Linked DNA regions of Caenorhabditis elegans. The protein of the gene in region 1 interacts with the protein of each later gene in a pairwise test. Each region holds a gene or a part of one and is shown in the gene's direction. Other genes may lie near its edges. The genes, in order: W03F9.2 and gla-3.

Region 1 (3,529 bases):
CCGTTAAAATTGAAAATTTAACCAACTTTTCAATGTGGCATCTCCCAAAATTTACCAAAACTTGTTTTTTTTTTGAGTTTTTAATTGATAAATTTGGAAAAATTGATCAAAATATAGCACCTCGCATTAAACATTAATTTGTCGTGTCGAGACCCAGTATCGTATTTTTTGCTTGAAAATCGTGAAAGAAGTTATTTTTTATTTTTCTAAATTTGATTTCATAATTTTTTCAACCAAAACCAAATTTTTTCTGAATTTTCAGACATTTTTTTTTCGTAAAATGTATTTACTGAACATAAAATTGTCAAGTTTGTCTTAATTTCTTTCAGGATAACATGTTTTTGCGAAAAAAATATCTGAAAATTTCATAATAATTTTTTTTGGCAGAATTTATGAATATTTGTGTGTTAAATTATGCGAAGAAAATTTTTTATCAAAAGAAAATTATTTATCATTTTGCAAAAATTTGGCGCTTAAAGCGGGTCTCGCCACGATCTCAGTTCTTGTGGTCGGTACAGGTGCAAAAATTCACAGATTTGTTAATTTTACGTTGAAAATGAAATTTAGCAGGCAATTTTCTAGGTTTTTGGTAATTTTATGTTGAAATGTAAAATTTTTCATAATGTTTTTTAGATTTCTGCTCTAAAATAGTACATCCAGAACATTTTACCGTACCAGGAATCGGCGCATTCAATCCAGGAATCTTAATATGCGGAAAACTGGGCGGTGGTCCGTAACGTTGCATCGCAATCAACCATGGCGGTGGAAACTTGAACGCATTCGATCCGATGGGCATTCCCAGTGCAATTCTAAGCTCATCCGACATTTCACCCGGCTTCTTGTCTCTCATCATCGCCTCCATCTCTTTTCCTTCATAGTAGAGCTCGCCCATTTTTGTCATAGCCGGCTTGGTTTGCCATTTGAAGAACGCGTCGTGAAGTTTTTGATAATCAATATCGATTTTTCCAAGCTTCGGGCGGGCCCGCTCTCTCATTTTTGATTTAAGGCTCTGGCTTTCTTCTTTTTCCAGCAGCGCTTCTCTCATATCCTGAATTCCGGTTCTTTTAATAAAATCTGGCAACTCAAATGGTGGCCGTTCGAATCCTCGCTTTCCGGCGAGATATTTACGCTTTGCATTCCAATGGCGTGGAACTGGAACTGAATTTCTATAAGATTTCATTGCGACAAGGAGATACGGATCACGAGAAGTCACATCGGCCCATTCAACAACATCGGCTCGAAGTGTCGTCTCTTTAAGCTTTGCAATACTCGGTTGAAGAGAAATTCGGAGTTTTCTACGCGAAAGCTTCTCCTCTGTGTTTTCTTTGGCACGTTCTTCCATCTCCTCTTGAATAATTCGCTCGGCCTGACCGACTTTTCCCAAATCATCCTTTTTCTCGCCTTTGGAAACGTGATGGCCGTAGGAGAAGCCGTCTTCTGAGTCGGTGGAGATCTGGAAGCCGATATATTGGAAAAACATTAACAAATAGTGATATGTTACCTTAAAAGCATCAAAAATTGCGGAAAAGTATTGAGCGTGCGGGTTATCCGGCTCAATTTCAATTGTTTCACCGATATAATCGATTTCCACGTCAAGATCGTCACCATTTTCCTCCTCTTTTTTCGGCTCCTCTCGTGTTTCTATTTCAGCTTGCTTCGTGGCTTTTGCTCTCTTCTTCGATTCCTTCTTCTTTTTGCTTTTCTGCTGTTTTCTCTTCAACTCCTGAAGCTCCTTTTTAGATAGGTTCTTGTTAGCCTCATCGTCTGAATTGTAGTCATCCTCGCCTGACATCTGAAAAAGGAAAACATTTAGTTGAAAATTGAAAAGTTTTCAATGAGGAAAAGAGGTTTTTAACCGCAAAAACGTTGAAAAATCTAAAAATTCGCAAAAAAAATTTAATTCGAAGAGTACGCAATGGGTCGGTGTTTGCGTACCAAACACTGAAACCGACGCCAAATACTCTCCGTCTCTCATTTTTGCACACTGTTTTATCATTGAATTTTCTCTTTTTTTTTTAAATTTTTTTAAAGCTTTATAATGCTTTAAAAAGATTAAAAACAGAAAATTCAGGTTGAAATGACAGAGCCATCTACATCAGGAGCCCAAGACCATGACGATTATCTAGTCACTCTCGTGAGTTGCAAATAAGCTGAGAAATACTGCCATTTTTTATAGATTTCTTTTTTCAGAGCTCCCCTCAACGCCAGTGCACCATCCGAGTTGTTCAGCCAGCTTCTGCATTAAAACGTGATTATTTATAAATATTATTTGTGAAATTAATTTTTTTTAACCTTCAGGAAAACTCCCAACTTCATCAGTTCCCGAATTCAATCCAGACTCCTACGGGGAATCGATTCCCGAAAATGCTCCAAGGCCTGTCTGCGAAACCTGCTCCGTGGCCTGGTCAACATGGGCGGCATACGAGTTCCACATGCTCCAGACTCATATAATATACCGCCCGTTTCGATGCTCTGGATGCCGGAACTTGAATTTTCACACCGAAGATGAAGGAAAGCACCACCTGGAACATTTTCATGGTGGCAAACCTGGCAGTTTTCAGGTGAAATTTAGTATTGCGTTTTATATTTTATTTAATTAATTTTTAGCTCATCAAACAGACGGATTTTGCAAAGGAAAATCAGTTGATCGAATGTCTGGAAAATGCAAAAACCACCGAGCAACTCGGAATTTCGAAAGAACGACTTGAAAATGGGCTGAAAATGATTGAAAAACTTCAAAAAATCAAGTTTAAAGCTGTGAAAGTGCATCTTCCATGCTGTCTTCGCCATGAAATGATCTCAAAACACACAGAAACTGAAAAAGAAGCGCCGCCACAAGAAAAATCGGTTACAAATGCTCAAAAGCCCGGCAATCCAGCACTTCTGTCTCTGGAATCCCGAAACTACGACTACGAGCAACAAGATACTGTTGGAATTTGATAAAAATGAAATATTCATTCGATTTTCCGTCAATAAAACTTCATCACAAGATTTTTATTCGTTTTTTGAAATAAAAATAAAATACAGATTTTAGCGCAGACATTTAATGTTTTATTCATTTTTCTCAGTTTCTTCTGCTACTTTGGAAGCGCTTTTTTTGCGAAAAAGCTTCAGTGACACAAGATAGGAAGGCTTTACAAGAATGTGTACTGAATTCTAATTATTAAAAAATTTTATAATTAAAAACCGCGAGGCACAACGCGAAATGAAGAGGCGCAGGCGTTTGTCCGCAAACACCGTCACGCAACTTTGCAGACTTGAATTTTTTTTGTTTTTCTTTTCCAGATTTTTCCAGTTTTTTCCAGATTTCTCTCTAAAATTAATACTTTAAAGCAGATAATTTTCGATTTTAATCAACAAATTCATTTTTTAAAGTAAAATGGCTGCGGATTCTCAAGATGTAAGTGTTTTTGCTAGAATTTACGGCACAATTTCCTAAATATTTTTCAGATCTACAGAAACTTGTCAGCAGATGACTATGAGGCTGCTCCAATTGTTGTTGATAGTGTCTGCCCGGTGTGCGAAGAAG
Region 2 (5,259 bases), on another chromosome or scaffold:
ATATTTGGCCTCCCAACGAAACGTATGAAACACCATGTAATCTAAAAAAACAATGTAGGCACAGGGATGCCTACGTACCTATCTACACACAAGTTTTTTTCGACCTTTTGTGTAGACTAACTTAAACCCTTTAACTTTTCGTGGCGCGGTCAACATTTTGTTTTAAATCACTTACCAATCCAGCAACACCACACTTTCCAGCCATTGAAGCAATTGTTACAATATGCCCTTTATTCGACTCGAGCATGCCGGGAAGGAAATTTTTGGTAGTCTGGAAAATTTCGGTATTCTCTTTTCAACAAAAGTCATATCTTACAAAGAACAAAGCATTTGTGTTAACTGAAACAGTCTTGACCATCAGCTCATCTGGACATTGCAGCAACTTTTTTCCTTGAAATGTTTTTATGAAAAGATATTATGGGAATACTAATTTCTGAGAATGCGTATTGCGCAACATATCAGACGCGCAAAATATCTCGTAGCGAAAACTACAGTAATTCTTCAAATTACTACTGTAATTTTTGTGTGAAGTAACAATGGGTTCACTGAACCTTTTCGAAAGTCTTATCATTTTATTTATTTTATTGATTTTTGTTTTCTCTCTTTATCTGGCATATTTCGCTTAAAATGAAAAATATGTAATACGCTAAACTTCGTATGTTTCTAAATCTCTACAGTATGCAATTAGCAAGGGATGTGCTTTTTTGCCAGTGGGTCCCGCCGCGCCATTCAAATTCATTTAATTAATACCATGTGTATTGCGACTCTTCATTGTGTCTTCGAGACCCGAAGAACTCGGGGGATGTCCAATTGGGGGGATTACCAACTCGGGGATTGGCCCCGCCCACAGAACCGTGGCTTGCAATACGCCCATTTCTGCAACTGCCGCACGGTTTCGAAACTGTATTTTTCTCAATAGAGCGAGATTTAACAAGAAAAATACAGTTTCAAAACCGTGCGGCAGTTGCAGAAATGGGCGTATTGCAAGCCACGGTTCTGTGGGCGGGGCCAATCCCCGAGTTGGTAATCCCCCCAATTGGACATCCCCCGAGTTCTTCGGGTCTCGTGTCTTCTACAGGAAAAAATTAACTCTATAAGGAACAAAATTATTATTTACTGTGTTTTTGTATTGTACATGAATTTTTCAGAAGTTTGGATGTTTTCAGCCGACTGTACTTACCCGTCACAATTCCAGCGTTGTTCACGAGAATATCTACTTTCCCTACTTCACTTTTAACCAAATCGGCGGTTCTATTGATTTCTTTGTATTCCGATAGGTCCACTGTGTATGCTTTAGCCTGAAAGATATAGAAATGAAACAGTATACAAATCGCAGAGACGCAGAGAAACGCACAACGACACTCCGAAATGACGATCGCGCGTTGTTTAGCGTGTCATTTGAATTTGTACTTTTTCTCATTTGCTTACCTAAATTTATTCAACTTCTCTTTGTTTCCCATTTTTGAGTAAAATATTTTTAAAAAAGCCATTTTCAGATTCTAAATCGTATTTTTCTGTAAATAGATGAGTAGCTCTGCGTCAAAAACTCAGGAAATAAGGTATATTCTTCGTATGAATAACTAATTGCTAAAAACAAAATTTTCAGCGTCGTCATAGATCCCCGTGATGCGCTTACAAACAGCACCAACGGCAATAAACCAAACGGCCCAAAACCGAAAGTAAGATCAGAAAAGCGGTAGTTCGTGAGAAACTAGAGCAGAAGGGGGTAGAGGAAAAAACTAAAGCTAAAAAAATAACTAGAAATTAGTGTTTAATAAAACATTTTATTTTCTCCATCCTACTCACCCAACCATGCTTTATCAACCATCTTTGTTAAAAAGTCGACTTACTCCTGCTCCGCCGGTAATTTTCGGAAAAAGTGTATTTTTGGTTTATAATAAAATTCAGGGGTTTTCTTTTCAACCTCAGCCTCTATTGAACTCAGATATGGATCCAGTCAGAAATTTAGAAAGTCTAGGGAACTACACGGTGTATCAAGATTCTTCTCAATGTTTTTGGCAACATCAAAATTTTACCTCCAATCGAGAGCATAACCCCGCATTAAGGAAGGTTCTATTTTTGGAAAAACGTTTTAATTTCTTAACACTTCAATATTTTAATTAAGATCTACTCATTCCTTGTAGTTTCAGACAAAGATTTGCGATCACTGGCGACGCTCGGGCAGCTGTTCGTATGGCGACGCGTGCTGGTATGCTCACGGTGAAGACGATCTTCGTAAAGTGGTCAGTTAAGCAGCGTAGGAAACATCAAAGAAATCTGGTTTTTCAGGTCCGGATTGATCGTTCGAACGAAGAAGAGAATGAGCGACCGGCTACTGCTGAAATTCAAAAGTCGCCGACAAAGCGTGCATCAACCAACGTCAAAGGATTAACAGTGAATATTCCATCGAATACTGCCTTCAAAGAACAAAACTCTTCGATGCCGTTATCTCCAGCTCAGGAAAGATGGATTTCCATGTCAATTGGAGCTGTACCACCACCAACCAGCTCAGCTGCAGAGAAGGATGCGATTTCATCATTATCTAAAAACGGTGTCGAGCAAGAACAGGAAAAGAAGCATGAAATATGTTCTCGTGACGATGATATTGACGATTACGGATTTTTGGTTAGTTTTGTAACTTCAAGAATAACTTTCGGTTGAAACTGAACAACTTGTTTTCAGTCTCCGAATCCGTTCCCATACCCGCAACAGTCAATGTTCTCAGCTGGATTTCCATCTCATGGACACCATCAACGTTCCTCGAATCGTGCTACGCAAGGGGTTCCTTCTCAACAATTTGGAGGTATAGAGATTTCACGAGGTTTTCTCGAATTTAATGAAATGAGTCTCAGCCCGCTGAAATTTTTATGGTAGTCTTTTTGAATTGTTGCGGCTGATTTCTCGTTTTCTTGAATTTTTCAAAACAATGACTTAGTTTTTATCAATCTTTATCGTTTTCTATTCATTTTTTTTGCTAAAATTAGTTTAAATCAGTTTTTGGAGTATAAATTAAAAAAGACTATCATAAACTTTTTATACGTCGAGACCCTGAATGAATCCGTGCGCCTTCAAGAAAACATGTCAAATTCTAGTGAAATTACGACAAGTTTTTCTTCAGAGATTTTTTAAATCAAAATTCATTGTTACAGGGCCAGTCAACATCCCTGGTCAAGATCCGAATCGTTTGGGATCTGGAGCATACCATATCCCACCACAGCACCAAAGATCAAGATCCAATGTTCGTACTTCACGAGAGGTCGGCGGTCCCCCTCCGCAATTTCAACAAGCGATTTGGAATGTTGCTGGTGAAATCTATCAACGTCAGAAGGACATAGAGATAGGCGGACAGAGAGTTGGACCCAATGATCGTCAACCGACTCAACAGAAAAATTCGGAAATGGATCGACTTTTGTCTAAACTGAAAATGAAAGATTTGAACTACCTTCGTTTTATGATAGAGCGAGGATATATCAACGAGCGTGACGTGTCTAGGCAAACTTCGGTGAGTGGTGTCTCAGGTTTTTCTTTTTTCACAATTTCTTTTAGATTTAAAAAAATTCAAACAATTTTTGTTCAGAGTGATCAAATGAGTAATGGTCATCACTTCAATGCTCCTATGACCCCACCATACCATCCACGACTTGCAGGAAACGGTAAGATTGAAATCAACCAAATAAATAGGAAAATTGATCGAACTATTGCATACATTTTAGAACCAAATACTTCGGACTGTCATTACCATGGAACTGGAAATCGTTTATCAAATTTCATGCCAGGACGTCATCGTCCCCCACATCAACATCCAATCCATCATCATCATCAGTCACAACATCAGCTACACCAGCATCAGCAATATCTGCATCATGCTGCTCAGCAATACCGTTATTCGCATCAACAGGGACCTCAACATCCGTTTGCGGCTCTTCTCTCACCACCGGAGATCTCGGAGTCCTTGCTCCCACCTGATGACTCGTTTTCGATTTGGCTCGAGCCGAAGCCGAAAAAACAGTCCGGAGCCATGACACGAACTCGCGGAGCTGCGACGATCAACGAATCGAGTTCTGCGGCAAGTCTGCTCACAAAAATGGATGCTCTTCGATCAGACAAGTATCCAATTACAGACGAGGAAATGATGATGGCTAATGATTTTGTGAGACAAGGCGATCGAGATGGTATGTTTATTGGTTAATTTACTCGAAAAATTTCTATAAAAATTTATAGTTCTGAATATCCATCAATTTCAGATAAACTAAGCTCCAGCGAAAGCTCAAGTCCTGTCGTGATGTCTTTGATGGAACTATTGAGCAACGAGAATCTGCTCGATCAAGTAGCAACCGAAAAACCAAAGTGTTCTATGTTCGATTTTGATACTCTAAAAATCGCCGAAACTCTCAAGGAGCCACTGCAATCTTCCGAATGTTCAACTACAACATCAAGCAAGATGACCTGCTCTCCAATGTTCTTTTTCGTAGATGAAAAGACACCAAACTACGGTAAAATTTTTTTTAGTATTTGAGTAGAACCTCCAATATATCGGCTATTTTTTAGACGGCTCAGGATCGAAAAGCCTTTTCACTCCGTCATCATCGGCCGGCCAGACGCCTTCATTCCTGGAACCTTGCGATTTTTTTGCAGCCACCGGATCGTGCCCCTTCGGTGACGCCTGTCATCAGAGTCACTCGATTTAGGAGGACCAGCGATGATTTTAAAGCCCATTATTGTAATCATTTTCTCATTTCTCACCCAATTCAGTTTCTAAATTTTATACTTTATCATTTTGTCCTTTTTCATCGTAATTTTTGTTCTACTCGCAGCTCTTCTTTAGTTTTTTGTATGTATTTAGGGTTTCTTGTAGAGGATATGGATACTTCCAGCTTTTTCCCACCCACATAATCTTGTTTTCCTCAAGTGATACGGATACCATCCACAAAAGTACGATATTCATAATTTAAATTTTGTATTTTTCTTCACTTTTTGTTCCATTTACACTTGTTTTCATTATTTCTAACGAGCCCGCGCCGCTCTTGACACTAGCTTTGTAATAGTAATAGTTAGCTGTAGTTGTAGTAAGTTTTAGCGAACATTCATCTAATAAATCTATAAATGTGAAAAATGTTGCAAGTCCAAACCTCAACTCCCATCGCTTCCAATTCTTTGAGTGTTTCTTTGTTTCCTTGCTCGTTTATATCCCATAACACTAATCTTGCACCGAGTTTTCCGAACTCGAAGGCCATCAATCGGCCTAATCCACTTCCGGAG

Evidence for each region.
Region 2: the proteins of W03F9.2 (region 1) and gla-3 interact in a two-hybrid assay, tested with the Caenorhabditis elegans proteins (2 studies listed by BioGRID).

What each region holds. Positions count from the first base shown.
Region 1 is NC_003283.11:126,500-130,028, reverse strand, and holds W03F9.2 (C2H2-type domain-containing protein), read left to right. Parts: upstream 1-1,994; 5' UTR 1,995-2,077; coding exon 2,078-2,134; intron 2,135-2,176; exon of another isoform or gene 2,177-2,190; coding exon 2,191-2,248; intron 2,249-2,298; coding exon 2,299-2,561; intron 2,562-2,607; coding exon 2,608-2,940; 3' UTR 2,941-3,029; downstream 3,030-3,529. Other genes in the region: sftb-2 (PSP proline-rich domain-containing protein), read right to left, coding at 676-1,453, 1,502-1,792; W03F9.1 (Zinc finger protein ZPR1 homolog), read left to right, coding at 3,380-3,400, 3,451-3,529.
Region 2 is NC_003279.8:8,212,886-8,218,144, forward strand, and holds gla-3 (C3H1-type domain-containing protein), read left to right. Parts: upstream 1-1,812; coding exon 1,813-1,863; intron 1,864-1,908; coding exon 1,909-2,070; intron 2,071-2,144; coding exon of another isoform or gene 2,145-2,150; coding exon 2,151-2,243; intron 2,244-2,289; coding exon 2,290-2,625; intron 2,626-2,682; coding exon 2,683-2,803; intron 2,804-3,149; coding exon 3,150-3,502; intron 3,503-3,577; coding exon 3,578-3,653; intron 3,654-3,713; coding exon 3,714-4,172; intron 4,173-4,244; coding exon 4,245-4,493; intron 4,494-4,548; coding exon 4,549-4,688; downstream 4,689-5,259. Other genes in the region: Protein dhs-3, read right to left, coding at 176-271, 317-390, 1,181-1,298, 5,130-5,259.